Alligator mississippiensis: one gene and its partner. The protein of the gene in region 2 purifies or fractionates together with the protein of the main gene of each other region. This does not show direct contact. Links are inferred from orthologs where the notes say so. Each region holds a gene or a part of one and is shown on either strand. Other genes may lie near its edges. The genes, in order: FBXO45 and NMNAT2.

Region 1 (16,512 bases), on a different chromosome or scaffold from region 2:
AAGGTGTCTCTAAGATGATCATGATTTAAATTTTCTAGCAGAGATAAACAAAGAGGCTGCATAAATGTTTCCTTCTTCCTCACTACAAAGCATTCTGTCAATAATCCTGAGCAAGTTCAAATAGGTCTAGGGAAACAAGAGATAAGTACCAAGGGCAAGCCTCAGGACTTTAAGGTCAAGATATATAGATGACCACAGGGGAAACCAAGGTTTGGGGCTAATCCTGCCTCCTTCTACTCTAAGGTTGGAAAGTTTTTAGAGCTCTGCAGATATCCAGGCTGTAGCCATATCAGTCTAGAGGCAAAAGGAATCCAAACTTGTAGTAGAGGCGATCTCTTTTATTACACCAACTAGATTTAAAAAAAAAAAAAAATTATTTAATTGCGATTAAAGGATTTTCTCTAGTTGCAAGTAAAGACTTCTTTGGCAAAAATCTAATTGGTCTAATGAAAGGTATCACCTCTACCATGAGTTCTGATTCCTAGATCTCTGCAGAGCTTTCAGCCTTTTGGGAAAGCAGTTGCTATAATCACCTGAAAGTACTTCTTTAGCGCACAACTGATTGGCTTCACAGCCTTCTCAGCTTCCACAAAGGATGGTGTAATGCTGACAAGTTAGTTCCACTGCCAGAGAAAGGTGAGACTTTAGTCTTGACTGCAGATAAGGAGAACCCAGACTTCAATATTTAGAGTTGTTTTCTTTTCAAACCAAATTAAATAAAGTAAAATAAAGAATTAAGCTCTTAAATAACCACCTTAAATAGAAAATAAAAATCTAGCCCCAAGAAGTTCAACATTATTTTTCAGACTACTCTGAAAGCCTCATTTTATGTCCAGTAGGAAATGTAAGACCTCTTAAAGATAATTTTTTATATGTCAAGAGAAATAGTACAACAAACAGGTTTGCCATCCCTTTTTCATAGGAATCAGTATTTGTGGCAAAACAAAATTCATGGGGAGTTTTCTTTTTTAATAGATAGAATAAAGACTGCTGAAGCCATGTAAACTTTTAGCCACATACAAATGAACTAACGTAGCACCTTACTCCACAAGAGCATTCCTAGATGCTTTACAACACAAAAAAAAAAAATAAAAAAAAAATATATATATACACATACACACACACACACACACTTTTGTGTGTAGGTCTTCCACCTGTCAGAAGTTCTTCTGATGTCATGTAGTGGTTTTTCCTTTAATGATATCCCAGTTAGAACAAAGCAAACCCTTTGTTTTGTTTTTAGCAGGTTTTTTTTTTTTTTTTTTTTTACATGTTCTGTATATACAACCTTTAAAATACACTTAAAAATAGCTGCACACATTTTATATCTCATTATATACTAAAGAAGTAGTCCAGACAGACCATGCTTCTCAGCACGTTAAAAATTTCAACTAAAACCCAACCAGTTTAATTCTCCTCTGGTACCCACGCTGGCCCAAAGGAGGGAAGGAAGGAACAAACGAGCAGTTTTAAAATGGGAGTCTTTCACAAAACACGCTACTTACAAATCTCAGGTTAATTTCCTCAACCACTTCTATCAAATTCTTCCTTAAGTATTTGAGATCACACACTACCATCTCAGCAATGAAACCTGTTGCAACATGAATGTGTCAACTGCCCACTCAACCAACTGTAACCCTGAGGATTTTTCTGGCCTGGTAGAAAGAGGAAATGTAACAATCCCTGCAGTATGGCTGGTCCTCCGCAGCAATCCACTATTTTCCTAGATGTTCCTTGGATATGCATCCATGCGTTAATTCAAATTTGAGTTTCCCTCTAACCAACATGCAAATTCCTCCTCCAGATCATCCACATCCAGATGTCCCAAAGAGCCAATCAATGTCATCCATCTAGAGGCTTTCCTAAGTAGACCAAAGTCACCTCTGTATTGCCATACACAGCTGACACTGCTGGATACAAGCAAACCTTTGGCAATCCTCTGAATGCAACTCCCAGGAACTCATAGCCGCGCTCAAAGGCTAATGTCTTGTCTTCCATGTCTAAGATGACTCGAATCCTCTCACCTATCTGCAGAGAAAGAGAGAGAGAGAGAGAGAAAGAAAGGAGATAAGAAAAAAAATCAGATAACAGTCAAAGAGAAACAAAGGATAAATAAACTAAAAATAGCACATGGAGAGCAGAACAATAGATCTTATAAGAAAAAACCTCATTTAGAATTCTGTGCGTCTTTTTGGTACAAATGCTCAAAAAAGATCAATTGAATGGTGTTAAAAAAGAGCCTCCGAGATGGTTAAGGGAATGGAGACCTTCTCTTATGGAAGAAGATTAAAGGAGCTTCGTTTGCTTAGCCTAACAAAAGGGATACTGAGAGGAAACGTGATCAGCCTTTACAAGTGCATTCCCAAGGAAGTGAATATTAGGAAAGGAGAAGAGCATTTTCAGCTGTAAAGCATCACCAGCACAAGACCACAACAGCGATGGAGAATTTAAGACAGTTGGAAATCTTCTAATTTCCTCTCAGAGAAGTGGTATTTTTGGAATGGTCTTCCAAGCAAAGCAATGAGGTGAAACACTTTTAGAGTGAACTGGATAAGTGTATAGAAGGGATGGGATGGTAAAACGGAGTTTTGGCTTAACAATTGGCGTAAGATGCATGGAATCATTTAGTTTCACTTTCCACAATGGACTATAGATGTAACTCTCCTTCAGTGTAATCAGTGTCTGGTAATCACATATTTCAGAGCTTTCACTGACTGCCAGTAAGGAGAAGCAAGCAATCTCCCCCCTCCCCCCCCAAATCCTATTGACTTGTGGAAGGAGGTAGAGTGAGTTTCACCTTCCTCTGAAATACTGGAACATTGGCCACAGCCAAGACTGTGGGTTTTTGACAGGAAAGCAGTGATGCTCCTGTCAATGCTTAAAAAAACAACCCAAAAAACAAAACAAAACAAAAAAAAAAATCAAAAAAAAATCAGAAGTTCCTGGTTAGAAGTTCTTGCTCTTCTGCTCAGTCATACTGACTGCCAAATATGAAGTCATTTTTTCCTTATGTCAGATTGACACAAGTTGTAGGGGTCCTTGCTTTCCTCCATAGCATGGGAAATGGTCTTTTTATTGGGAACTTTTGAACATTCACTAAATTATTCCCTGCAGTTGTAGCCTCATTACAGCATCAAGGCATTGACAATGCCAACACCTCTCCCCTGCTTTTTTCTATGCCTCTATGGCAGGAGAGGGCAAAATCCAGCCCATGGGCCAGATCCAGCCTACAATGGACTCTATTTCCCAGCAGCCCCTGTGGCACCAGCTCCTTCTGGCTGCTGCTGCCAGACCCAGCCCTGATGCCTGGGCACCCTGGCCTGTCTGCCCCACACCCACCACCAGGACTGGGACCCAAGCAGGCAGGGCGCACACCTGGGAAGCTGGGATGAAGCCATGGCTGGGAGTGAGACAAGTGAGTGGGGCTGGGGAGATCACAGGATCTTGGGGCACTGACAGTACAGGGATGGGGCTAGGGCACAGCTATGATCCACTGCCTGCACATTCCTGCACCAAGTATGGGTTCACAGACAGGGGCATGCAAGGAGTGGATCACGGCTCTGCCCTGGCCCCTTGCTGCCACCGCTGGCCCTGGAGCAGCTCCCTACCCAACTGCGTACCTGGGGCTGAGGCAAAGCCCCAGTTCTGCAAGCAGGGGTGTGCAGGAAGCACACTGCAGCTCTGCCCAGGGCCACTCACTGTCACGGCCCTGCAATCCTGGGTCTCCATGGAGACCAAACGGGAGCCATGCAGGCAGGGGCTGCCAAGAAATGGCAGTCCAGCCACGGCCAGATCCTCCATTTTGCCCACCCCTGCTCTACAGTATGTGATAGAGTGCTCTTGGTGTCCTGGGTACTCTGCCTTGTACATGTCTGTGAGGGTTTGAGGTAGAAATTCTGGGACTTCTTTCAGTAAATGAGTCTCTGTAGGCACAGAGGACTAGACTCAATGGCCAGCAAGCCCCTTCCAGGTCTATGTTTCTATTCTTCCAGAGAAAAATGAATGCATATCTTGAAATCCATCAATTTCACTGATGCGCAAGAGATTCTGATTAGCTACACTCAATAGCTGTTTCAAGCAGACAGAGTACATACAACCCCCACAATGCTATAAATACCAAATGTTACCTTTACATGGATATGTCAGTAACCCTAAGAATTAACATCCATCTATTCATTCTGTAGTATATGGCAACTTTGTAATTGCCTCCAACCTGCATTTCTCTTGACAGCATATGCCTGTTAAGAACTTGTGGTTAAAAGTCTTTGTAGATTTTAAAGCCAAAAGAACAACTTGAGAAAGTAGGGGGCATATGCAAGATGCATTGAACAATTTTTTGGATATGCCTGTCCTTCAAGTACCACAACTGATCTTTTATTTACCAACACATCAGGATTGCAAATATTTTGGACAAAAACAAATGGGAAAAACTGAAAGAAAAAAGGTTATACAAAAGCAAAGGATACTCGATGCACCTGGAAAAAAACCCACAGATCATCATATAAACATGATGCTGCATGCCAACTTATTTACCCACAGTGCAATTTTGAAATGTAATTAGGTAACAGCCCCCAACAGCAAGCAGTAACAATACTGTCTAGGATGTTGTGGAAAAGTCAAACTATCCTCCGTGTAATCTCCTTTAAGCTCTTCTTCTATGTAAAACAACACTAAAGAATATACACCTTTTTCACTTTTTTTAGAAATAGAAAAATGTTATGTGCCTTATTTTACAGAAATATATTTCTAAGAACAGCAACTTGAAATTCAATCAAAATAAAAATAAACCAGTTGTTACATACTCTACAGCCTTGAGTCCAAGAAAACTTCTGCAGTTTTATAAAATATTGCTTTCCCTATAAAGGCCCAAACACAAAGAATCTGAACACAAGTGATAAATGGGGAAAGAGACTATACACAGCTGTGTCAAATGCATGAACTGAAATGAAAAATCTTCAATCTTTTCTATTCACAGGCGTTTTAGGTTTCTACTGTTAAAAACAGGAGGCACAAATCTCAGAGGGAAATGTAATTTAGACTTCAGTGCCCCTATTCAAGATCATCTTCACTACACTAATCAAAAAAGCCAATTTCTACTTAAAGTGGGGTTTGGGGACATTATACAGAAAATTATTAAAAATCTTCACCCACCACTGATATGCTACCACCTCTAGACTAAAAACAATAAATAAAATCACATAAAAACATTACCTGACAGAATGAGACAAGGAGTATACTGCACATAATTGATACTGCAGCATGAGGCAATCTAGTAGGTAGAATATAGTTATCCTAAAAATAAAGCTGGGTCAGATCAAAGCTAAATATGGAAAAAGTATCACATATGCTAATTACCACAAGTTATCTAAACTTCAATTTTGTTTTATCTGAAAGATATCACCTCTAAAGAGTACTAATTACTGAGTAAACACCATTTAGCATTACACTGGATTCTCCTGGTGTGTGTTGGGGTGGGGGGGGCGGCCACGCGGGGGTCTACCCAAGTACCAACCAGAAACACTTCACACCAGGAAGCATTTCCAGAAGATGTAATACTTATTTGATATAGCAATGGGTAAACTAGAATATTCTAGTCACCTCTCATTAAAAAAAATAAAATAAAATAAAACAGAAACAAGATAACTGCCTTTAAATAAGATGCATACACATAGGATGATTTAAGATTTCGGATAAAAATTGTGGTCTTTTATTTTCCTTGAAGGAGATCATTTAGGTTTCAGAATTGTCTGAAATTCTTATACATAGGAAAGAAATCTAAAAACAGGGCAAAGCAGAAAATGGGTAACAAGGCAAAATTATTACCCTCATGAGGTAAGTAGGTAACTGGTGTAAGCTGCCTAGTAAGACCACTTCAGGAGACAGCTAGACATTTTCATAAAAAAGGAAAAGCGACGCACCGAAAACTAGAGGTGCACTAATACATTGGTCCCATATCAGATTGGCACTGATATAAGGAAAAAAAAGTGACAGTAAAGGCAACTGGCTTTTTTTGGCTGATGTGCTCAAAAACATGGCCAATAAATGCCCTGTGCAGGCGCAGCACACAGGTGGCAAGGAGTGCAGCTGGGTTTGGCTGGTAAGTCTGTTGTGAGTGAAGGGGGAGAGAGCATTGAGGGGGACGGGGAAGATAGAGGCCCCAGCAGTGAGGAATGGAGAGGATTGGGTCGGGGCAGGTGCCGCCCAGCTAGGGTGAGGTGTGGGATGGAGCCATGAGCGGCTCGTCATGGGGGCACAAGGTGGCTCCCGCTGCTGCACACACCCCAGAAGGGCACAGGGGGTGAGTGTGGGCTGTGTCAGGCTCTTCCCAGTGAGGGGGAGATTGAGCCGGGCTGCCCAACCTAGCCCGCTGCTGGGAAAAGCCCAGTGTCACCCCAGCCCCAGGCTCCCCTCACCCCATGTGCAGATCCAAGGGCATACCTCCCCCATGCCCTCCTGGAGTACGTACAGTGGCGGAAGCCACCTTCCCCCCACCCCGTCCCCACACATCCCAGACAAGCCGCTCCCGGCTCCATCCTGCACCCCACCCCGGCAGTGCAGTGCCTGCCCTTGCCCCAGCCCCTTTTTTTCTTCCTCACCACAGGGGCCCAACTGCCCCCCCCCCCCAATGCCCCTTCCCCCACAACAGACTTACCAGCTGGACGCTGCTCTCCATGCTGCCTGGCTGAATGTTGGAATCAGTCAATATGGCTCGCTAAAAATCAGTCATCAGTATTGGCTCAAAAATCTCTATCCGTGCACCCCTACTGAAAACAGTGCTCAGGCTTATTCTTGATGGACAGCTGCCCACAAATGCAGCAGTTTCTGACTGGTTCCAAGTCTCACTCACCTGGTACTTTGGTGCATTATTGCACTGTGGGAAGCTGCCATTTACCTCTCCATTATGTAGCAAGTTATTGTCCACCAGGTTCCAACCCCAGCTCTGGTCGTCACTGCCCAGCAGCGCCACGTAACCCTGACATTGCATGGGAGCCCGTTTTGTGGCAATTCCAATTACAGCTACCGTGCCAAGAGGGCCTTCCCACCAAACCTCCCATGCATGACGACCCTCACTGAAGCCAATCTTGGTCCTTGCCCCATCGGTGCTCTGAGCAATGGGGTTCCGGTGCAAAGTAAACCCATTCTTCTTGATGTAGACGTTCCTGGAGCAGTCATTGGTGCTGAAAGCATGATGAAAGGCACGTACCTAAGACAAGAGAGAGAGAGAGAGAGAGAAGAGAATTTTTGGACTGGAGAGAACAAACCATGAATGCAATTGTTTCATTAACATCCTGCAGCACATTTGTACTCAGTTTCAAGCAATAGTTTTTTAAAAAGCATGGTTGCATGTGATGACACAAGAAAGTAGAGAAGATGGGTTTGCTACCCAAAGCCTCTAGATACAAAACAAGCCAGAGAACCAGAGTGCACCTGGACTTCTGAGATCAGGAGCAGCTGAGCTGAGGGACAGAGAAGGCAGGCTAGAGATGCAAATTACAGATCAAGGCTAGGAACAGACGTTGCATTTGTCCCTGGACAAGTCGTACCTGTGTTTCTCCCAAAACAGAAATATCTAAGCACTGTATGTACATGCATCACCCTTTTAATAAAGGTTTAGGGAACAGCCAAATGTACCACTGTTCTTCTGCCATTGATTCCACAATGCAACTCCCAGGACAATTGTTCAGACACACTTGGCAATATCCTGGGATAAACTATTACTACTTCTCATCCCGTGAACCTTTTTAAGGATTTGTCATGGACAGACATCTGAACACTGGACTTTGTCCCAGGATAAAACAGGTTATCCTGGGATACATGCGACATCTGTCTGCAGCCTAACCAAATCAGAGAGGTGTACACTCCTGTGAGCCAATGCTCACATCATCTGCAAGCACCAGATGGGCGATGAGGACGAAGGGACACATTACATGGCAACCCCATTGAGGGCTGGGAAAACACCAGAGTCTACATGTCACAACTTGCCAGCTATTGCTAGGTCCCCTCCAAAAGTCTTGAAGTGACACCACTTAAGGCAAAGGCTAACTCTGGGCCATGCTCCCCAGCTCCAGTTAAGGTCGGCTCTACAGATACAAAGCAAGCAGGCTACTGGCCTCCAGCATCCCAGGATGCACTGCTCCCAGCACCCCCCCACTCACAGCAGGGATAGAGCCCAGGGGCCAGGCACCTGGGCATGCTCCTGCTCACCTGTCCCATAGCAGCCAGTCAGAGCTGTGCCAGCATGGAGCTGGGTGCGGGGGCTCACCTGGCCCTCATCTGCTACCAATAAGTGCCCTCCAAGCATCTCGAAGCAGCGCCACTTGAGGCAAAGGCCTCGCAGTTCCTGTTAGGGCCCCTTCAGTCTGCCCCAGAGACAGGAGCAGGCTGCCACCCCCAGCATCCCAGGGTGCACTGCTCCCAGCACCCCCACAAACCCAGAGCAGGGCTGGTGCCGGTGAAAGCCAGGGTGCCTGGGCTCACCTTGCCCCTGCCGGCTATTGCAGGTGCCCCACCAGCGTCTCCAAGTGACTCCACTTGCGGCGAGGGCCACCCCTGGGCGCGCTGCCCGGCCGGCCCCGCTGGGGGCCGCTGCAGCCTGCTCCAGGGAGCCGGGCGGGGGCTGCCCCGCTGCCACCCCGAGGCGGGAGCGCCGGGCGCCGCTCACCTTGCCCTTGTAGGTGGGCACGTTGCAGAGCACGTCGGTGCGCAGCGCCTCCTCGGCCAGGCAGCGCGCGGCCAGGCTGCGCCACACCTCGCTGTTCTCGTCGCCGTGCAGGACGCGGTGCCACAGCTTGCAGACCAGCGCGCAGCTGCGCAGCTCCCGCAGCTCCAGGTAGGAGAACACTAGCTCCAGCACCCGCCCCGGCAGCCGCCAGCCCGCGCCGCCCGCCGCCGCCATGGCCGGCGCCGGCCCCTCCCCCACCTCCGGGCGGCGCCAGCAGCCCCCGCCCGCTCCGCCCGGCGGCAAAGTGCGGGCGGAAGCGAGCCCCACGCCAGCCACGGAGAAGCTGCCTCTCACTGCCAGCACGACTCCGAGAGCGGCGGGCCAGCCATGCCGTGACGCCTCCCCCTGCCCCCGGCCCCAGGCCCCGCTGTCATTGCTTGGGCGGGAGGAGAGAGGCGAGGATGCGGGCCGCCATTTTACTTGAGGGCACAGCTGTCAGAGGAAGCCGGGCGCGCATGCGCAGCAGGGAACGCGCGGGTGGTAATGCAAGGGAGAAAAAAAGCCCTCCCTTCCCGGGTTACGTCATCAAACTGCGCCGGAAGAGACGCGAGGATGCCGAGTTGTTGGTGTGGTTGGAGGTAATTCCTCCCCTTTGTTGTCCGGCGCGGGGGACCCAAGATCTCTGCGAAGGAGGGGAAAAGCTAAGGCCCCGCTTTGGTCTGCGCGGTTGTGCCCGTGCCGTGGCCGCGCGGGCGGGGGGTCCTTACGGACAGAGGCGAAGGGAATACAGCTTCGAGTTCGTGTTTCCCGCGCGGCTCCTGCCCCCCTGCGGCCTTGGCCGGTCGGAGGTGCGGGAGGCGCTGGGGCGGGGCCGCCCAACGGGCTTCGACGCTCGTTCCCACCCGTTGTGCAGCCCCCGCGCGACGCCGCCGGCCCCGAGCTGGGAAGAATCGAAGCACCGCTCCTGGGGCTATGGGCAGCGACCCCCGCCCTGCCCACGGGCAGGTGGCGCCTCCTGTCCTGCCCAAGCACTCCCGGGCCGACGGGAGTGGGGAGGAGCTAGCTGCCAACCCACCCCATGGGCGCTGCAGCCTCAGTCATGCAGCCGCCTGCTTCTTGGCAGAACGTCTCGCCCTTGAAGCAAAGGAGAGAGCGGAGGAAGGGAAAGGAGAGGAATCCCAGCCCGCTCTCCCCTGTGGAAAGACCGGTGATGTCTGTGGGATGGGTCTTGAGTCCAGTCCTGAAGCCGCTGATGAGCCGCAATAGCGGTTGTTCTCACATCTGGGAATTGCGGACAACATTGTTAGTTGCTAAGCCACCTGATTTAGCTTTCCCTGGTAGGGGGCTTCTCTGCAGAACCAGGTGAAGCTGATGGTGTGGATCAGGGGTAGGCAACCTCTGGCACATGTGCCACATGGCATATGAAGCCATTTTATTTGGCACGCATGCCCCAGGGCAAGGATTGCACTGCCACAATAAGGATCAGGCCCCTTGCAGCTCTCCCACCATTCACACAAGCACGCCAACATCTTACAAGTCAAGGTTGCAGGTATTTTTGCCACTCAGGCCAAAAATGTTGCCAGCCCCTCATGTAGATTGAGGATGATTTAAAAAAAAAAAAAAAAAGAAAAGAAAGGAAAAGAAACTTGATTACAATCAGTCTGCCTCCTGAATCACTCTTCTTGTTCCAAATAGCAAAGACTCTCACACTGCAGTGAGTCAAATACTGGTGATCTAGTGACTGTATAGTCAAAGGAATTCGTTAAGGCTTCAGGTTGTAGCTGTCACCTCCTCTGGCCTGGACTGACTGTTCAGGTCAGAGAGGAGCAACTGCTAGGACACCTCCACTGTTTTTTTCCACCAAGGCAGGGGAGAGCAACTGATGCCAGAGCCATCCTGCCACTGAATGTTTCTGAAGCCCCACGTCTGCAGATCTCATTAAATGGCTCTGTGGGCAGGAGCTGGCCCATGGGCTGTAGGTTGCCAACCCCTAATCTAGATAGCTGCACAAGGTGGTGTAGTTCAACAATTTGTATACAAGCACTTCTAACAATGTACCATTCCACTGTTCTAAGGAGTCAGTATTGTAAGCATACAGACTGGTGTGCTTGCACTCAAACTTGCACAAGTGCCCATTTTACCTTGGACTAGCAGCTCACATGCTCATGTTATTTCATCAGCAACCCAGTAGTCTTACATACTTTGATAAGCTTTCTACTGTAATAGGAAAAACTGCCTAACTCTGTCCTTCTTTCACAGAATCCCTTGAAGCATCATGGCAGTCAAGTGGACCGATGGACATTCCTCTTCTATACTGTGCTTGAATGTGAACAAAGAAGGGCTGATAGCTTCGGGAGCAGAGGCAGGCGAGCTTGCTATCTGGAATGAGGAAGGGATTCCATTGGGACAGATACAGCTTCAGAAAGCAGATGATATCACCTGTGTAACATTCTCTCCCACCTGCCCAAGTAGGCTATACACATCTCATGGGGAAACCATTAGCTTGCTGGATGTCAGGTGCCTTAAGGGGCCTATTGAATGCTTCCACGTAAATGAGGAAGAGATCAATTGCCTTTCTGTGAATGACACAGACAGTGTCCTGGCTGCAGCTGATGACTCTGGGGCAATCAAGATTATAGACTTGGAAAACAAGAAAGTCAGCCGGTCCCTCAGGAGACATTCAAATATCTGCTCCTCTGTTGCGTTTCGACCTCAGAGGCCTCAAAGTCTTGTGTCATGTGGACTAGACATGAAGGTGATTTGTATGGAAGTAGATGGATGATTGCTAGATTTTTAAATACTGGCTGAATGGTATGCAATTAGATATTCATTCTACCTCACTCCTTTCTCTTACTCTAGGGTGGTAAGAGTAATTTCTGGTTCTTTAGCAATCTTAATGTGGTTGTATCATGATGGAAGTTCCACTGATGTAAAGGATTGCCCTTTATGGTCAGGGCTTTCAGGATCAAACCCTTATTTTAGAGGTCTATTTTAAGGCTATCTGTGAACAAATAGTGCCCCTGAAATTAGCAATAGCTATCATGGAAAAGGGGACAACTATTTTGTTTGCATTTTGCTGAGTTTGGTAAGAAAATTAAATGACAGTTTAGAACAGCCATAGGGAAATGTATAGTTTGGGTGTCAATGCATTTTAGCTTATGGAAATGAACAGCATGCAACAACTAAGCCCCTCATGGACCACAGTTTGAGATTCCTAGTCCAGTGATTCTCAACTTGGGGTGTTACAGCAGCCTAAGGTGCCTTGAAATACTTTCAAGGGTGCTACAGGGTGCCACACAGGTGTTCAACCATGATTCACAAGATAGGACCCTGTAGTGTCAAAAACATTCTCATCTGTGGTTTCTCTGAGTTCTTCCTAATGGAAGAATTGCCCCAGTATTTTTCTGTAGTCAAAAAAACAAATAAAAATTAAGAGCTGGCATTTTACAAGGGGTGCCCCTAGTCTAGTTAGGGGTGCCACAAGCCAGGGTGGGGGTGCCTTGAATCTAAAAAGGTTGAGAACCATTTTTCTAGTCTAATGTAGAAGTTCTGTCTATTGGAGTTCATAGATATTGATGTGCTGTTTATTAATGACAAAATAATGGGTTTGATAAAGACAGTTCATCAGTGGTGCAGTGATGAGCCTGAGAGATTGAGTTTAATGCTTTCAGTTCTGCTAGACTGAGAATAGTAAATACCATATGCAGACATTAGAGCAGTAGCCAAAGCCAACTATTGCATTAGTTCTGTTGGATGGCTCATAGGGAATACTTATTGGTTGTGGAGGGAGTCAGAGCTCTCATGTGGAAGCATATTTGTTGTTATGGGGCTTTTTCTGGTGGTGCTGTGTTTAAAGAGAAAAAAAAGCAACACACTTAAAAAAAAAAAATGATCTCACACCACACTTGCCTGCGGGTATCATCCCTTACCATATTACCATAATATACAGTGTTTTGGTAGTGACTGTATGGAAACTTAAGAACACCTCATGCTTTCAGTAAACAGTGTGTGAAATATGAGTTGTTCGCTGTGTGATTGATCATGGAAACCATGTAGCTAAAGTCCTTGTGTGTGGTTTTGCAAGTTGTGCTTCAAGGGTCTAATGCCAGTTAAAAATAACTTGTTTTCTCTCTCTTACTCAGCTTGCCTAGTGAAGCTACATGCACCTATTGTCAGTTCCATTTAATTCTCATGCACTAGCGCAAAGCTACAAAGGATGTAAATGAAATGGGGATATTTGTTTTTTTCTTCAACACACTGAAATTAATATGAAAAAACTTGTATTACTGGATTTTGTAAAGTAGTGAGAGACTGAAATGCTCTTTTCCATTATTCCATTATTTCACATATTCAGTGTGCTGTACAAAAAATCAGCACCCCTGTGAAATAGGCATTATCCCCATGTCAGAGAGAAAAGCAAATGAAATAGGGTACCAAAAGCCAAGAAAGTAAGCACAAACTGAATTAAAATTTTAAAATGACTCTCAATCCTATTGTTGGTCACCATTAAAACTTTCTTTCAGTTGCACAGTTTATAAGCAAGATGTTCAGTGTGTCATGGCTGCTGCTCCCCAGATGATTACTAAAGCATGAGTGATTTCTTCATCACTTTCACACCCTAAAAAGCAAAATGTTTAGCTATCCTAAAGCAAGACTGTTTCATTAGATGCAGAAAATTCTGTTTACTAAGGATGTTTTAATTAGCAGCTGACCTTCACCAGCTGTTTTGGAAGAGATGCAGGATCTGTGCAATCTGAATGCAGTCTGACATGCAAGAGGAATTTAGTGTGTAATCTTACAGAAAAGATCTCCATACTTTCAGTTCTCTTCAGATGATTTAGTATTATCAATCAAATTGGGAGACAAGGTTGGGGCTACAGAAGTCATTCTTCTCATTTTATTTGAAGGTTATGCTGTGGAACCTGCAGAAAGCTCGCCCACTGTGGACCACAACCTTGCAGGATTGTGAAGCAGAGGAGGTGGAGCAGCAATCAGCTGGCCAGTTCTTTAACCCTCCACTAGCCCATTCTCTGTCTGTGGCTGCATGTGGCAATATCTTTGTTTGTGGTGCTGAAGATGGTAAAATAAGGATCTTCAGGGTAACAGGTGTCAAGTGTGAACAGGAGCTAGGGTTTAAAAGCCACAGTTTGGGAGTATCACAAGTTATTTTCCTGCCAGAAACCTATTGGCTGTTGAGTGGTGGAAATGATGGGAAGGTGTTGCTGTGGGATATCAACAGTGAAGTTGGGAAGCAACAGAAGAGTCCTGTGAAATCCATCCACAGGAGGAAGACCAGGGCACCTGCTTCGACCAGAAGAGCTGGGAAGCCCAATGCAGTGGTTACAAATGAGCATGCCAAAATCCTACCAAAACTGAGCATTGAACATGGAGAGAAGGTGAATTGGATTTCATGTGCAGACTTCAAAGGCTCCAAGAGAGTACTAGTTGCTGATCAGAGTAGTTCCATAACAGTGTATCCTCTCACTGAGCCATAGACATTAAAAGATTTTAAGGAATTTTTCACAAGCAGCTAATTCCTTGGGGTGATTTAAATTGGTGTAGCTGATTTTTCTAGACTGCCTTCTATTCCATTTACCCTTTAGAGAGGTCCCTGTTTATAGCTTAAACAACTAAAACTCCTGCATATTTAGAAGTGGCAGGGGATTAGCTGTGGCATCACTTGCCTGTATGCATAACATATGTGCATGGATTCTCTTGCAGTTATGGCCCATCTTCAATGTAAATCTTAAATAGACGTGTGGCTGCTTAAATGGTTTTTGGAATTGCACCCTCAGAACATGAAGGCGATACATAGCAGGTTCAGTCATGTTTCAGTCTGGAAATGCTGAAATAATGGGAAAGAAAGTCTTCAGTCTGACAAAAGTATTGGACTCCTCTATGTAAACTAAAACAATCCCAGAACAAATCAATTGGTGAGATAAGCTTTAATGAAGATGCAATTGGCTGAAGTCCACCCAGATCCCTACAGAATAGCCAATCTACTAGCTTTCTTTGCTTCATCTCTAGTTTTTTGCCAACATTTTTGAAACAGAAAAAGTAAAGGAAGTCTGACCTAAACTGAACATAATTTCATAAGTGGAAAGTATCTTCACTGAAGCAGCTGAAAGCATGGGCTGGAAACATTTATGAATTATGTTAAACTAAACGCAGTAAATAATAATTCAATGGGATTTTCATGATGGAGCAGACATAAGGAAGGGGAAGAATGTTGATTATTTACCTGGCCCAAGCTAAAAAAAAAAGTGTAAAGTCCCAGAAGAGATGTTAGCTATTAAATCTGTAAATAAAAGCCTTTTCTCTTCATTGCCCCTTGTGCTTCTGCTTTCAAAAGTGTCAAGAAGAGCATTGTATAACTTCAACTGCAAAATAAAAGTGTACAAAGGGCCAAATCTGACTATTTGCCTTACACAAATTGTCTTGTTGACTTCACAGGATACTGATATGAGATGAGCAAGCAAAATTTGGCCTTAAGGTGGATTTAGATATGCTTCTCAGATTTAAATGGGAAGAAATGGAATCCTGCAATTTTAATTAGATAATGCATATTCTGCTTCTCTGAAAGGGAAGTAGCCCAAGGAGACAAGAATTTATGTTCTCGGCATATCCTACTTTTTTGATGTTCCAGGAGGGCAGTATTGCACAGGTTAGAGACCTGTTCACCCAGTTACATTTAGTTATTTTCAGGTGCTTTGTACATATAGAAGTCTACAATGGGTAAATCTGCTGAAAAATTCCTCTATACAGAGGACAATCTTTTGTTTTAAACTCTTTAATAATGTAAATCTTAGCAGCTGTTTTTACATGGCAAGGGAGATGGAGTAACTATTTTAATAAGTAAAGAGCAAATCTGTGAACTGAAAGTTAGTTTCCAAGGAATCCAGTAGACATCTTTAGACACCAGTTAATGATAAAAACAACCTTTACATTTATACATACTCAAACCCTTTCGATGCTCTCCTGAAAATGTGGAACTCCTACAATTCTAATGCCACAATAAAGCAATGTTTACTGTCAATTATGACTTTGAGGTATTAAAGTACCATCGCTATTACTGTATGAATACACATGCTATTCTTATTTTTGTCCTTTTGTTTCTGCTCATGAGGATCACAATCTTAAGTCACTTCTGGAATTAGCGTTTTAGTCTCTTTAACAACTATGAAATGTATTGCTTGGTACTTAAAAAGTTGTTACAGTATATATAAGTTCCTCACACAAATTAAGGAGTTGGGGAGGGAAAGGCAAGGAGAAAGGTGAGCAGGAAAAGGGTAATGGGAGAAACAAGAAATGAATGAATGAAATGAATTATGAAAGGGAGACAGGAGAAATAAAAGAGCAAGAAGTGATGCACAGCTTTAAGACTAACAATTTATATTCATTCCATGAACCCTACCCCTCCCTATCCACCCCCCATTCCCTCCAGTTGTTAGGAGGAGCAGACATAAGACACAGCTTGTAGTTGAAGCTAGTGTGTCAGGGATGAAAATAAGAAAGAAAATTCTAAATTTTGAGTTTCATTGTTGCCTTTCGGGTGAGGCAATGCTAGTCTGGATGTTCCAGCAATATCTGTACAGCATCCAGACTATCATGGACAAACGTATTAACTACTTGAACTGACAACTGAGTTCTAGTTTCAAGAGCCTTTGGTCCTTGTGGTGTCCTATCTAGTTATCAGTTTTCTAGATGAGATAGCATCTGCATTTTTTAAATACAGGCACACAACAAGCAAACTGTATGAAACCTTTCAGCCTTCCCCAATACCAGACACCATCAGCTGTGTGAACATTTTCAAATGGGTACCTTTGTGCCTTCTCCCTTTCTATCCACTA
Region 2 (16,284 bases):
CTTGCAGAAACTTTATCCCATTCTTGTTTAAAGAAACATTAAAAAGAAGTTGTTTTCCACCCAGGAAGGATTGAAACTTTCAGTGAAATGAGAGTGACAATGCAATCCTGGGTTCACCCTAGTTTTATCCAATGTAGAAAGAAAAAACTTAGATGTATATTCTCCCCATATTTTTGTCTATTCTAGACTGACAGAAAAACAAATGTTCTAAATGGCATTAGAAACTTGTCTAGCATAATTCAGGCTCACATGAACAAGGATTTAATGATTACTACATCTAAGGTCAAGACTGAACCTCCCCTTTATAAGGGACATTGTCATTTCCTCTTAGGATCTGGACTGGCTTGTGCTTCATGGGAATTCTTCTGGTCATTTGCAAATGCAGTCACATTTAAGTGAATTTAAGAAAGCGGAAATGTGAGCACATCATTCAGTGCATAGAATTTACCAACTGTATTTTGATAAGAGATCATTTGATTAAGATCGTATTTGCAGTCCAGTCATTTTTTTTTTATGTCCAGTCATTTTTGGAAATCCTATTTTGAAAACTGAGGAGATTAAAATAACAAAAAAATCCACAACCCTTTCTAGTTCCTTCCTGTTCCCTCTCTCTGGCTTACAATAATTGGTCCCTTTATCTTGGAAGCCTATTTACATAATTTAACAGACTTCAGTGGCTCTCCTTCAGATGGGCTGCTTTGAATAATCAAAGAGCAGCCTTCTGGGATTTTTAATTGCTGGCGTTTGCTTTAAGATGTAATACAGGGAGTTTTTACTTTGGGCATCTGAACCCTTTTTTATTTCTTTCAGTTTGAAATGTGTTTTTCTACCAATCTGTTGGTTGGGATACAATAACAAGTTCTCCTCATTAGTAGATGTATGTATGAATAGATGTGGCAAAAAATTGCTTCCAATTAGACAAAAATCACAGCATAGCTGTGATTCATTGTCATTATGAATATGAACTGGAAGGAATTATTCCGGTCACCAAATCACATCTGATGCTACAATCCCACTGATTTATTTATTTATTTTTCTGTCTGGAAGTAACATCTACTTTTAAATGGGGTAGGAGAAACCTAGGATAAATTTAAAAGCACCTAAGTGGCTGAAGCTCCTAAGAGACTTGGGTATCTGTGAAATTTTTATTACTAAAATCTTTTCCTCTCACAATAACAGGTTTAGCAAATAGGACCATAAAATAAAACCAACATGGAACAGACTAGAAAGCTTGTATGCATATGGATGTTACAGATGTAATTATTAGTAAATATTAAAGGTTCACTAGCAAGAAAAAAAATCACAGAGCCAGAGAGGACCACTCTATCCCAACGGGGAAATCTGTGGGACAGTGTATAGGAAGGAAAGAGGCAAACTGCTCCTGGTTCCTCTTGTGGCGTTCCCCATAACATGACCCTTCTGGATTTGCTGCATAAACAGATATTGAAGCCTATGAAGAAATCTGTGCTTCTCTCTAACTCGTCCAGTTTCTAGACTGCTCCTCTCCCTTGGATTTATGGTTTTTTTGGATGCCCAGGTGTTTTTATAACTAGCAGCTACCTCTAGTACTCATCACAAAGACATCTTACACAGCCAAGGGGCAGGGCAAGATGCTCAAAATAAACCTACAGTAACTTTTGTGGACATTCCCTGTACATCTGGAGGTGCACAGTTTGTACTTTACCCTTAATTCCCCCAGCCTTATGGATATGACCTGGGGAATTCAGGAAGGGGGAGTACTGTGAAGATGACGGATCCTTCTACCTTTCTGGCTGTAGTCTGAGGAGTGAGATGCAGGGGAGAGGAGGAATGGAAATGGCCCAGGGAAGACCTACTTTTGTAGATTGCCAGAGGCTCTTTGATACAAGCTAAAGCAAGGCTGCAACTAGACAAGCACAGGTCTCTTATATATGACTAAACTGGTTAAGAAAACAGCAACACTTTTTTTTAATCAAAAAGACCATTTAATTTAAATTAAATTGAGGCATAATAAAGAGCAGGCTATGAAGAATTTCTCTTTAAAACAAAGTCAAAATGGAGCACAACTGCGTTTGTTTTTTTTCAGTTCAAATAAATTTGTCATTTGAAATTTAAGCTGGATTACCAAAAAAAGGTTTTGACCTGAACCCAAACCATTTTCAGTTTGCAAAACTTTTCAAGATTTCTTCATTGTCTTCAAGGTCTGTTCATGCAGCAAATCCAGAAGGGACATGTTGTTGGGAATGCCACAAGAGGAATCAGGTGCAGTTTTCCTCTTTCTTTCCTATACAGTGTCCTACAGATTTCCCCATTGGGATAGAGTGGTCCTCTCTGGCTCTGTGGGTTTTTTTTCTTGCTAGTGAACCTTTAATATCTACTAATAATTAGATCTGTGACATCCATACGCATACAAATTTTCTAGTCTCTTCCATATTGGTTGTATTTTATGATCTTATTTGCTAAACCTCTGTTATTGTGAGAGGAAAAGATTTTAGTGATAAAAATTTCAAAGACATCTAAGTCTCTTAGGAGCTTCAGCCACTTAGGCATTTTTAAAATGTTTACCCTAGATTTCCCCTACCCATTTAAAAGTAGATTTGACTTCCAGGTAGTAAAAAAGTGTGGGGGGGGGGAGGAGGGGGAGGGTTTCATCCTGATTTGGGATGGGACAGATTTCAATAACCTCAAATTTTCATCCCACAGGACTATTTATTTCCCATTTAACTCTAGAGGTAATGCTGTCTTTTAGGCATGCTCAATAAAAATATTTTTCTTGCAATTCTGCCTCCTTGCTGCCACACTTTATTGTAATGAAAGATTGGGAGAACACCATGCAATTTTAGTTATACATAAACAGTTTTTCCAGTGTTACAGCCTAGATCACTATAAAATTTGAACATACTTTTTTCATCACCATTACAGAGTGGTGTAAATTCTCTCCGAGAATTAAGCCAGGCTGGCAGCTGGACTTTGGTTCCTCATCAGTTTTGCTTCCTGGTGCCCATGCATTAGCAGGATGCTGCTGTGTTGGGGTTAACTGTGCTAGAGGGGAATGATTTAATTAAAAAGCAAACACATACTTGTCAGCTGGATATTTGCCAGTGTTGGCATTGTTTTGTCAGTGGGGCTCCACAGATTATTTTTTGCTTTGACATTGGTTATACATTTTGTCCTTTATGGCATTGCTTTCCTTTTTTACAAAAAAAGGAAGTCAACTGTGATGCATCTGTGATGTAGAGAGATACCCTTCAGCCACCAAATCCCCTTAATGCCTTATTAGAGAGCTGCTCTTTGTACCACAGGGGGTAAGCCTGATGATGAGGTCTTCTCAAAACAATGGCTCCATCCTTCATGCCTACAGAATTGTATAACTCTCTGAGAGGTTTACCATTTTTTCCAGCGTTGCATGCCACTGATGGAAACTAAGCATATACCACACTACATTTCTCTGAGTATTAACTTGAAATAAAAATGATTTGGGGTTGAATGGCACTACTGTCTTGACTAAGGTAAGCATTTATGGTCCTTAATGGCTAATGTTTGAGATCCTTTCAGTTGTTTTTTGACTGAGGATTTTGTTCTGAATCTTTCACTTAATTCCATAATGTTATGAGTTTGCATAGTTCTTCTTTGTCTTTATTAACACACATCTGGAATACTAATCAAACAAAGCTGTTTTCCCTTAGAGTAAAAAAAAACAAACCATTTTGTTCACATTAGAATTTATATAGTAAAACACTCCAACCTTCCACTCCCTCCTCTTTTTTAAACAAAGCCTAAGTTTTTTCAGAGCTATTATGATGTTTATCAGAACTATTAATGTCATTAGGTATCTAGCAGTATTGAGTATTGTATGTACATATGTAAATAAAACCACACTTAACTGTTCTTAAGGCTCCATTCCTTCATTTGACAAAGTACAGCCTTATTCAAGTCACTGGGGTGTCATGTGGTTGATAGGGTTTGCCAAGGTGTTATAAATTGCAGGATCAGGGCCTATGGTTATAACACAATCACAACTGCCTGAAAGGAGGTGCCTATCAGTGACTCTTTACCTCCAATTGATGTAATTGGTGAGAAAGGACCTAGTAGAAATAGTGCACCAATCAGATAAAGACCCTGGATCCAATCTTCCAGTTTCTATGTAGTTACACCATCTACAGAGACTAGCTGGAATTTAACTTGAGGAAAAGTCAACAGAATCCAACTTCATGAGCAAAAATTTAACTACAAGCCTTTATTTTCGCATCTTGTCTTTTGCTTAATTTGTAGTGCATTTTTAAAAAGAAATACTTCCTCTGATACTGAAGAAAAAAATGTTTCCTGTAAGGTTTATAAAGCTTATTTATTTATCTGAGAGTTGAAGACAGTGTTTTGCATCTCTTGACTGCATCTTTAGTTAGATGTCTGAAAAACATTTCCACAAAGCAGTACTATGCTGGTCTTTGTTTAAGATGAAGCCAAAGGAGCCCTATAAACTAAAGACCAAATCCTGTTTGCTTGACTCATATGACTAATCCTACTGGTTTACATGACTAAGGAGAGCAAGAACTCAAACCCCTTAAGCCTTAATCACAAAAGTGATCCTTACTGGCTATCTCATTTTTCAGTCCTTTCTGAAGCCAGGCTTCCTTCTGGAATAAGTGTGGGCTGACAGTGCAAGTACAAGCTGTAGAACAGGGTCCTAATTTATGATATATGCCATGAGTTCAAGGACAGAAGGAACCTTTTATACATGTGTAGCCAGACTTCCTGCATAACACAAGCCAAAGAAAGTCAGCCTCTTATTTCTATTGCAGGCCCATAACTTCTTTTTTGAAATATTGCATATCTTAGAGCAGAATATCCAAGTCTCGACACACAGACTTCAAGTGATGAAGAATTCACCACAACATTAAGTTATTCTAAAGGTTAACTAGCCTCTCATTTCTGGTCTGAATTTGCCTGGCTTCAGCTTCAAGCTTTGGATGTCATAGCTTTTTGTACCCAGCTAAGGAGCCCTCGCCCACCACAGTTGTACCCTGTATGGATAGATACTTGCAAACCATGATCAGGTCACCTGTTACCTTCTTTTAACTTACTAAAAACACCTGCCTATGTAGTTTATCTCACTATAAAGGATGTTTTTCAGCATCCCTCTCTTTCCTGCAGCTGTTTTATCAGTCCTCTCCAATTCGTTCTTCTTTCAAATGTGGACACTAGTAATTGGCACAATATTCCAACAAGAGTCTTGCTAATGCAGTATACAAAAGTCATGCCTGCTATTGTTGCTTGATATTTCCTTGCTTGTGCAGCCAAGTATCATATATGTGCTTTTAGTTGCATCACACTGGGATCTCATGTTCAGATGATTATTATCACCTCTTTTCAGAATCACTGCTTTACAATATATATGTCCCCCATCTTTTATAAACAGTCTGCATTCTTGGTTTCTAGATGTATGACTCTGCATTAGGCTTTTCAAGTGAGCCAACCTTGACTAGCAATTCAGCTCAGCCCGCATAACTGACCTATTCCCTTCATCAGTTACTACTCCACCATTTTTTGTTCTCTGCAAATTCTACCAGCATTGATTTCTATAGTTTCTTCCAGGTCATTGGTAAAGATATTGAATAGAATTTAGGCCAAAACCAGATTTCTATGGGAATGCACTAGGGACACCCTCACTAGAAGATAATTCCGTATTTAACTGATATCTCGAAAAGAAATCAAAATCAAATTTTAATCCACTGAATATGGGCTGCACTGATTGTTTGGTTCTCTTTTATCAGCATGTCATGCAGGACTTGAGAAAACATATTAGAGAAGTCTGTTCAGTCAACACTGTTACCTTCACAGATTTGTTTAAAAAAAACATTTGATGTTTAAATATTTTTTGCTGCTCAGTTTTGTTCATAACTATTTTACCTTTTGGGACTAGGCCTTATTAAAGCACTGTGTGAGCACATCTGTTATTGCTCAGGACCAGATTCTGTTGGCGCACAGTGAATGAATTTAGACTGTGATTGTTTGCACCTAACTGTCAATTTTTAGTTTAGTCATCACTTCATCGTTATCGGTCAGGATACAGTCCAATACATAATTAAACATGCATTAGTACCGATATTTTTTTGTACTGAGAAATGTATTCATAGCTTTCAGAAACTCCAAGGATATTTTACCAATACCACAACAAGACTGGCATGAGTGCCCCAGATTGAAAACCCCCATCATATGGCATGGTTTTTTTTTCTGCATATAATGGATAGATGTCTAATATGCTGCTCCTCCTGTATTTGTAAGTGAGTTTTCAGTTGATATAGGGTCCCCTAAGCCTGCCAGCTTCTGTTCATGTGAACTATCAATAACCAAGCAGGTAATGATTTTGATGTCGGGTGCCACACCCCTTCCCTCTGCTTAGTCTCTCTCTAACCAGAGATTTCAACATTCCAGCCATGCATTGTTACTGAAACCTATAGGGGTGCATCCATCATCTCACATTTATTTTCAGCAATGAGTGTTTCTATTTCCTTTTGGATGTCAGACAGGCATCTTGAGTTTTAGTGGGTTCTGTGCCTGGTGCTTTATTCTCTGTTTAAAAGAGCCCTTGGATTTACATCCTAGAGCCTGTTTCTTCACTTGCCAGACAGATAGGAAATGGAAGTGCTGCAGAGACACTGGGAGAGACCTTCATAGGGAATAAGTGGCATGATGTGCACTCCTAACCAGATAACACACCTTGAATCTGTGTGTGTGTGTGTATCATGATTTGTTTGTGTGTGAGGCCTTGACTCTGTGTGTGCATATGTATCAGGACGTGTGTGGCCTTGATACATATATACACACACACACACAAAGAATCATGATGTGCGTGTGCCTGTGACTTTGTGTGTGTGAGACAGAGAGAGAGAGGCCTTGCTCTGTGTGTGTGTGTGTGTGTGTGTGTGTGTGTGTGTGTGTGTGTGTGTACACCTAGGTCCAGGGGCCGGGAATACGCCAGGAGAAATGAAAACAGGAGGCTTCCCAGCCACAGCACGAATCTGCTCCCTCCCCGCCCCCCCACCCAGTCTGGGCGAACAGAGCGGCTCCCGCCTGCAGCCCGCCCCGAGAACCCCCCGGCCGCGGGCCTCCGCGCTCCGTCTCTCCAGGGCTCGCTCCAGGACGGCGCCCCAGGGGCCCCGCCAGGCCAGACCGCCCCGCCCGGGGCAGCGTGGGAGCTGCGGGGCGCTGAGGCGGGGGTTCAGCACCCGGCGGCGGCGGACAGCGACACGGCCCCGCTCGCGGCTGCCGTCCGGGCGCGCTGCAGCGGGTCCCCTCGCCCGGCCCGGCCCGGCCCGGCCCCAGGCGGCGCCGCCACGGGCAGCAGCAGCAGCCTCCGCCCTAGCGCGCTGGAGCGGCGCCAGCGCCGGGCGGCCGCAGAGCCGGCGCCGGCCGCACTCACCGAACATCTGGATGTGGCCCTTCGTGATGGGGTTGAAGCTGCCGCAGGCCAGCAGGATGACGTGGGTCTTGGTGGTCTCGGTCATGGCTCCCGTGCGGCCGCCGCTCGCCTCCCTCGCTGCGTCTCGGGCGTCTGCAGGGGCTGGTGGCGGGCGAGGCGCAGCCCGTGCTGGGGGCTCCGGGAGCGGAGGCAAGCGCAGGCGGCGTCACTCCTCCGCCCTTAACGCTTTCAGCGCCGGAGACGGGGCTGCCGGGGAGGCGCACACACTCATACGCACACAGTACATACATACATGTACACATACACACACGTACATACATACATGCATATACCGCCCCCCAGAGAGGAGCTGAGATGTAGGAGATGTGGATACACACACACACACACACACACACACACACACACAGTCACAGCCCAGACAGGAGCTGTTGTAGACATGGATTACAAGTACATAAGTGAGGGGATGCCAGACACACAGGCACACAACCAGACACACAAGTAATGACCCAGAGAGGAGCTGGTAGAGACATGGATACAGGTACACAAGGGACTGCCAGACACATTCACACACACAATCACACACACAGTCACAGCCCAGAGAGGAGGTGTAATAGACATACATATACACAAGTGAGGGGCTGTTGGGGACACACACACACACACACACACACACACACTCAGCCCAGAGAGGAACTGTTGTAGACATGGTTACATGTGCACAGACAAGGGGCTGCTGAACATACACAAACAATCACAGCCCAAAGAAGAGCTGTTGTAGACACATGGATATACCTAAACAAGGAAAGGGCTGCTTGACACACACATGCACAGACACACAATTACACAGGCCACAGGTCAGAGAGGAACTGTTATATACATGCATACACATACACAAGTGAGGGGCTGTTGGACACACACACAATTGAAGCTGAGAGAGGAGCTGTTGTAGACATGGATACACATACACAAGCAAGGGCCTGCTGGACACACACACACACACACACACACACACACACACCCCAGAGGTGACACCAGGCTCCTTCTAGATCTAGCCAGATTTTGCCCTCAAGTCTCCAGCTAGGAATGTCTGAATCCAGATCACTTCCCCACTCCTCCCTCAGCCATTTCTACTGTCTGTAATAATCCAGACTCTTATCCATGCTGGGAGAATAGGCCCCACTCTACTGGGATCCAGTGTATTATTCCTGCAAGATCTAGGCAGGGTTTTTTTTGTTCTTGGGCAATACTGAATAGAGCAAATGTAGTCAGTCCCATTGCATTTGGAGTAAAGCTGGAGGAATGCTAGCAGGAGTGCCATAAGCACCTGTAACTAGGACCTGGATGAGATCTGGCAGCTAAATCTTGACAATGTTGGATCCCTAGCTCCAACTGAAAACAAGGATGAGCACAGCCACTCCACTGGAAGAATTTGGACCCTGATGCCTCCTGGTCTGTAGTACTGGAAAAACGTGCACCTTTTATGTGTCTCATGGCAATTTTTATCCCAAACTGCCTCTCTCTCCCTAGAAAAGGCTGTTGGAAGTAGGATTTTCTGCTCTGTCTCGCTATGTGGGAGGGCTTACTGAAAACTGGATCCCCTTTCCCAACACAACGTTTAGGAATAGTGCATGGAAACTGGAAACCTACAGACCAGGCAAGTACTACTAGGACTGGTTCGCACAACACACTTGGAAGGTATTACTGGTAACCAGGATATGCACCCACTAGATTGGATTCACATCAGGGTACAGCTGCAGAAGACTGTTGTCAAACACTGAATAGTGCTCCCATCACCCCAAATGCCTCTTGAATACTTTCTAGCACCAAGGGTTCTGTCTGCTGTATCCAGTTGCTTTCCCAGGAGAGAGAGAATACTCCTACTTGCAGCGCTCCCTTTCTCCCCCTTCCTGTAACAGAAGTGCCATCTCTTTGTCTTTTTCTCTAAGATTTGGCAGTTCCAAACATTTATTGTTATACTGCAGGCTCTCTGTCCTTGCCAGCTCTACAGTGCTATACCCACCTTTTCTCTTTCCTTTCCTCTCTTCTTGTGTCTTTCATTTCTGCTAACAACAGAGGTCAAATGGCCCCAGTTTATGCATTTATCTTTATGACTCTCGTGCTTAATCGATATGACTCAATGCTGGCTAATCCAGACGGTTTCTTGCCCCACCTCCCCCTTGTTGCCAGAGCCTATATCTTGAAAAGTTTTGTATTATGAAAAGGCCACAGATCAGCTCAGAGTTATGATAACAATCTAATTGGAAACCATTAATAAGATGGTTCCTGCAGCCCATCTGTGTAGAAAAATAGTATTATTATTGTTATTTATACTGCGGGAATGCTTGTTATTTATACTGCAGGGATGCTTAAAGGCTCTAGCTAAAATCTGTGCTATATTGCAGTCAGCACTGTGTTTACACATGGCCAGAGACAGGCCTCTCACAGTAACACTGGTGGAACACAGTAAAACACACCCATAAAGTTTCTTTAGACCAGCTGTACACAAACCGTCATGGATCTCTCTGACTAGTTCACCCTTGTGGAAAAGTTAGAAAATATTGAAACATTTTTCTTTCCTTGTCCCTCTCCTCCTGCTTTTTTTGGTCTTGTTCAGCTACATAGAATTTCAGAAAAATTGTGGTGTGTCACAGAAGCTCTGTATAATCTGCTATGGGGACTGGGTATTAATGGCACTTCTTTTCTCTCTTGGCAACATTGTTCAAAACCTCTTAGTATTTGATAACTCACAAGTCCCTTCTGAATAGACCTTGCAGGCTTGGAAAATCTGACAGGGACCATGAAGTCTACCCATATATCTAATCCGTCAGAATTAAACAAACAATAAAAAAACACTCTACAAATAGAGCACTGAAAACAGGAAGCAGTTTATATGCACTACCCAGGGCTCTTTTAAAAGAAGACACTGAAATCTACATTGGAAAAGCTCCAGAAAATACTCCCAGGCAGAAAAAATTGTGTGTTAAGGTTGTAAACATCTATCAGTCATTTCAGAGAAAAAAAATCCTTGAGGGAACATTGTTTTTGAAGACATAAAAACATTTGAAATCCTGAAAGTTAAAATTTATTTTGCTATACTTTAAAGCCGAACACCCCAAACCACCTAAACATCAGACAGTAAGGCAGTGATAAGCAGCCAGCATCAGTCACAAGAGATAGCCTTGATGCAGAAATCACCAGATAAAATTCATGGCCTGTATTATGCAGGAGGCCAGATTGGGATTGTAATAATGATCCCTTCTGGCCCTAAAATCTACACAGTTGTCAGAACAGGGCTTAAGGGGGGCTTAAGCAGAGCATAAGTCTTGTGTTGTCTCACTACATGTGGAGGGAGGAGGGAAGGAAAAGGAGTAAATTTCACCATATTTATTACAAAGAGTAAAGAAATGATATAGAAGCCTGCCCTTTTTTAAAGTAAATTAGAATACAATAGGTGCATCTACAGATGCACTTTACTGTGGAGTTGACTAATTAGCTCCACAGTGACGTGTTACCATCTACACGTGTGCCCATATTAGAGCACAGTAAATTAATTAAATCCACCGTAGGATAGTGCTACCTGGAACAAGTACTATCCTATAATGGAGTAATTTATGCCACTGCAACACATGTGTAGATGGCTGCCTGCCAGCTAGCCACACACTGTAGCACCTTTGTGCCCCAGCCAGCCCCCCCACCACCCCACACCACCACCCAGAGCCTGGGTCTGACCCCCCGGACCTTCTGCCTGCCCAGGGCTTCTTCTCCCCAGCTCAGTGTGCTGTGGTTCTGGGCACATGTGAAGACACTTCACCCAGGAGCAGATAACTGTAGCGCACACTGTGCTGGAGTTTATTCAGGTGCACTAATTGCACATGTACATGCGCCCAATGTGCCTCAGTCATGCATAAAACATCCAAGCCACATCTGATTTTTTTAAAAGACCAGTAACAGATCAGATTGGCCTTAGTTTTTAAAAAGTTTTCCAAACACACAAGTCTACCCAAGTAGTGGCTCTAGGGTTTTTATTTTTCCAGTCCCACTGTAAACAGTAGTTCAAAGTAAATACATATTCATCATTTCAATATTGTGCAAAGATATGAGAACTTCAAAATGAAGTCAGTGGATTATTTTATTTTCATCATCCAAGATAATAGAAAGACAAAAAAAAATAAGGAAACAACTGTTAACAGGAAAAGGTACATTATACTTTGGGGCTTTTCTCAAAGTTAATAATAAATCAAGGACACATCAATAACATAAATAGGAAATTTTCATTAGAAAATATGAGGTGAAATTTTTTGGGGCCATGCTTCAGAAAGGGATTGCATGAATGCTGGAGGCCATGGAGCTAGGGAACTAGTGGGGCTTTAGGCCACCTTTATGTCTCCTGTGGATTTTGGGCTAATCCAGAGTCCAAAATAGGCCCTGATGTAATTTAGGCAACTCAGGAAGCTGCTCTAAACATAGGGAACACTTCCTTGAAGCAGCTCAGAGTCCCCCACAGTGTTGTGCACTAAGATCCTGCCATCTACCTCTTTTTAATTTGACAGTCTCACTTTAATATTTTCCCTTAATTTCTTCTTCTTGGATTGAAGTTGACAATTTACTTTTCCTGTTAATACGAATAATGTTCTGATGTTAGTAGTATCCATAGAAATTCCCTTGGCCAATCCTTAAGGTTGTTTTTGCTAGGCCTGTAAACTTGTATGATCCATTTTCTTTTGTATATTAAAAACAAAGTATAGCTTCAGGGAGCCCAGGACCTTTGCTACAAATGAGCAAACTAGATTTACCAATTAGTGACATTAACAGTCCCAGACTTTACTGACGCCCCTTGTGATAGCTATGTTTGGACCCCAGTGCTGGTTCTGTACACTCCTGATCTCCCTGTATCTGATCAGATTCCTTACGCTGTCTCTGACTGACAGTAGCCTTAGGCATGCTTCCAAGGCACAAACCTTTTGACTAATGCCACTTCTAGGGATCAGGGCTGTACCGCCCAATCCCCAGGACAGCCTAGTTGCTCCAACGCAACCTCCTCAGAGCTGAACCATCACAAGTACTTCCACTTATAGGAATACTTGACAGTGAGTTGAAGGAAGTAACAGACAGACTTTGCAAGGGAATTTCTAAACCCGTCACACATTACTCATAGACAAGCACAAGAGAAAGGACAAACACCTTCATGCAATTTCTCCCCTGCCCCACAGGCTTCTCCAATTTTGAATATTCTTTGGGTTTTGGTCAGTGTCTTTGTGGGTCCTGGATACCCACTCCTAGTCCCAGACCCGACTTTATCCTTTCTTTCTGGTTATTAACTATCATCTTATTGTAGCAAACAGCTTCCCTTTGCTTATTCTAGCCTGGTGCTCAAATGTTCCCCCACTCAGTAAGCATGCCCTTTTTTAACAGCAGCTCTTGGAGTCTCCTGTCTTTTTAATAGCAGTCATAGAGTCCTTCTTTTATGCTGACAGTTTTCTATTCCTCTACCCCCCAGTACCTTCAGACTGTCTGATAAGAACTGGTTTCGCCTTACCTACAGCAGTGGGAACCAACCTTTTTGTCAGGCATTCCACAAATCATCCCTGTACCCTCCCTGAGTGTCACTCCAACCCCCTTCCCAATCTGCTGTGCTGCTTTGTGTTTCCTGCCCTGTGCTCCCTACCTGATCTGCTTTTCCTGCCCTATCTGTCACTGTACTTCCTGTCCTCTCCCCAGTCTGCCACATGCCACACCTGGAGGCTGCTGCCTTGTGCCACCCCTGACCTCAGCAATGTCATTGTTCTAGGTTGTTTCCATTTGAATGGTAGGCCATTCAGCTTGTCAGGTCATAATTGTTCCAGTCACACCTTCCCAGTATGTGGCACAAACATTGTTGGCAAAGCATAGATTCAATATACAGTGAGGTATTAAAGGATAAAACAATTTCATAAAAAATAGAACATATGTTTTACACAAGCAAATTTCCCAAAATGTCATGCTTGGACATAACTCCAGACAGAAGGAGGTGCTGAGCCAGTAACCTCGCCAAGGCCTTGGTCTGTGAACTTTGCCACCAGACAAACCAGTTAGAGATACCTAAGCAGGGATTAGAATAAGAAGAATGGTGTGGGAATATATTGATTTAGGGGACTGTGCTTGGAAGCAGAGACTCTTTTGCAATACACCCATTTCTTTGTCCCTGTTACCTTTTCCATGCCATATTCTATCACAAGAGATAAAGAAATATCACTTGTGACAGTTGAAAATGGTAGGTATATTCTGTGAACATTTAAAAAAAAGAAATGAAACATTGCCATGAGGATGTTATACCATGGTGGTTGGAAAGGGTCATAATGGTGAGATGGCCTCTTTGCTATGAAGTAACCCACCCTATAAATAAGTTCAGAGAATCCCTGGTCTCCACCACGGGATAGTGAAGAGTTGCATTAGGAATTCTTATAGAGCTCTGAAATGTTATTGGTGCTATTTTTTACTTAATCCCGCCTTTGAAATGGAGCACATTAATTGCTACTTTAATTCACCTCAGGGTGATATTGAAATGAGAATATAGTGTTAAACCCTCTTTAAATGATCTAAAATAGCTTTACTACTCACATAGGGGTCCTGATGTCATCTCGCAAACCACCATGGCCACTTGCTGATAGTTGTTAGAAATGTTCTCTATTACTGGTAAAGAAGACTTTCCAGCTCTCCAATGGGATCCACACAAATGTTTTAACCTTTAAAGGCGCATCCACACATGCAAGCATGTGTGCTTGTAGCAGCTCAAATAGAAGCGGTGCAAATTTGAGCCGGGGCTTTTTGCTTCACTGCATGTGCTTGGACATCCACTTTGCTGTGGAGCAAATTGTGCCACTTGGTGCAAAATAACCCTGCCTGGCTCCTCCCAGATCTTCCGCCAGGGGGAGCTAGAGCCCGGGGCCAGCACCTGTGCTGTCCTCAGCAGTATAAAAAGGTGCCCTGTCCTGGCCCCAGCAGTATAAAAAGCTGCCCTGGCAGTAGCTCAAGGCTACTAGCTCTCAGGAGCTTCTGCGACCCAGCCAGTTGGTACCTAGGGACACTACCCCTTGTGCCAGCTGGACTGCTGAAGCAGCCCTGAGAGTTCCCTGCACCTTTACCCACTGCAGCAGTCTGGCAGTGGGGGTTGCTGCCTGGCTGTGACCTGCTGTGCACCTGTCAGACTCGGATGGGGACTGTACAGCCAGCAGAGGCATCTGCCCCTCTGGGCCAGCTGCCAGTGGACTGCGGTTGCAGGGTTGGCCTTTGTGCGGCACTACTGCCATTTGTGCCCCCTGCCCGGCCATCTGAGCAGCTATCACCCGGAAGATGTTCCGGGTGTGGTGGCCTGCTTTGAACTGTCAAACCATGTCCTCCTGGCCAGATGGGTCCCAGGTGCCAGCTCTGAGCAAGAAGGGTCCTGCCACTGGCCTCCCTAGCAGGAATTCTGGTGTTCCCTATTGGAAAACTGAAAAAACCCTGATAAGAAAAATCCCAAAGTCACTCTGTAAAATACCTCCAAATCCATGTTCCTTCACAAGTAAAACAAAAGACCACTATAAAGACAGAGAGCAAGACAGAGACAGTGATCAGTTGGACAATGTTTTATTGATATATCTTACAGTGTTAAAGCAAGTCTCTTATCATAACAATAAAGCAAAATCTAAATGCATGTTTCATGAGAATACATGTTTTGCTGCACTCCCACAGGGCGATGGCCCACACACAAGGGGTTTGGCCTCCCCAACAGGGGATTCAGCCCCCCCAACAGGGGGTTTGGCCCTCTCACAAGGGGTATGGCCCCCCAACAGGGGGTTCAACCCCCACACAAGGGGTACAGGCCCCCAACAGGGGATTCAGCCCCCCAACAGGGGATTCAGCCCCCACACAAGGGGTATGTCCCCCAACAGGGGGTTTGGCCCCCAAAAGGGGATTCAACCCCCAAACAAGGGGTACAGGCCCCCAACAGGGGATTTAGCCCCCCACACAAGGAGTATCCCCCTCAACAGGGGGTTCAACCCCCAAACAAGGGGTACAGGCTCCCAACAGGGGATTCAGACCCCAACAGGGGATTCAACCTCAAAACAAGGGGTATGGGCCGCCAATAGGGGGATTCAGCCCCACACAAGGGGTATGCCCCCCAACAGGGGGTTCAACCCCCAAACAAGGTGTACAGGCCCCCAACAGGGGATTCAGCCCCACAACAGGGGGTTCATCCCCCACACAAGTGGTACAGCCCCCCAACGGGCACCAAATGGCCCCCACAGGGGCTACCACTCCCCTTGCAAGGCTCACAGGCTCCACCCCAGCCCCCAATTGCTGCCCCACCTGGCCCCATCCCCCACCAGTTGCTGCAGCCCCCCCAATGGCTACCCCACCCAGCCTCACCCCCCGCAACTTGCACCCCCAGGCCCCCATGGCTACCCCCACAACCCCAGGCACCATTATTTTAAAAAAACCCAGAAAAAAACAGGATAAAGTGGGAAAATAAAAGCCTTTGCTTACCTTAGAAGCAGGGGTGAGGGGGGGCCCAGGGCCTCCTGGCAAAGCCCCCCCAGGCAGCACAGGGCAGCGGGGGGGGCAGCAGGGCCTGGGCTGAAGCTGCTAGGGCTGTCACCCTGCTCCACACTCGGGGCCCCAGTCAGCCAGATGCAACCAGACTGCATGTAAGTGCAGGGGTTTTTTTTGTTTTTTTTTAAACTATGGGGTGGGGGGGGCAGGGATGGGGGGGCTTGGGGGAATGGGGCTGGCCAGGGCAGGGGTCGGGGGCCTCAGGGGGCTTGTGTGGGGAGGGGCTGGCTGCAGCAGGGGTCAGGGGCCTCAGGGAGGGCTGGTGGGGGGAGGGGCCATCCCCAGCAGGTGTCAGGGGCCTTGGGGGGGCTGGC

The links.
Region 1: the proteins of NMNAT2 (region 2) and FBXO45 purify together in Homo sapiens (co-immunoprecipitation; 3 studies listed by BioGRID and IntAct, with this or other methods). This does not show direct contact. The link is inferred for Alligator mississippiensis from reciprocal best matches to the Homo sapiens genes NMNAT2 and FBXO45.

What each region holds. Positions count from the first base shown.
Region 1 is NC_081830.1:36,869,695-36,886,206, forward strand, and holds the start of FBXO45 (F-box/SPRY domain-containing protein 1), read right to left. Parts: upstream 8,950-16,512; 5' UTR 8,897-8,949; coding exon 8,663-8,896; intron 7,205-8,662; coding exon 6,848-7,204; intron 5,293-6,847; coding exon 5,212-5,292; intron 2,029-5,211; coding exon 1,843-2,028; 3' UTR 1-1,842. Other genes in the region: WDR53 (WD repeat-containing protein 53), read left to right, coding at 10,938-11,417, 13,570-14,157. UniProt on the Homo sapiens protein: Component of E3 ubiquitin ligase complex consisting of FBXO45, MYCBP2 and SKP1. Functions in substrate recognition but also plays an important role in assembly of the complex.
Region 2 is NC_081828.1:54,143,446-54,159,729, forward strand, and holds the start of NMNAT2 (nicotinamide/nicotinic acid mononucleotide adenylyltransferase 2), read right to left. Parts: upstream 7,556-16,284; 5' UTR 7,485-7,555; coding exon 7,400-7,484; intron 1-7,399.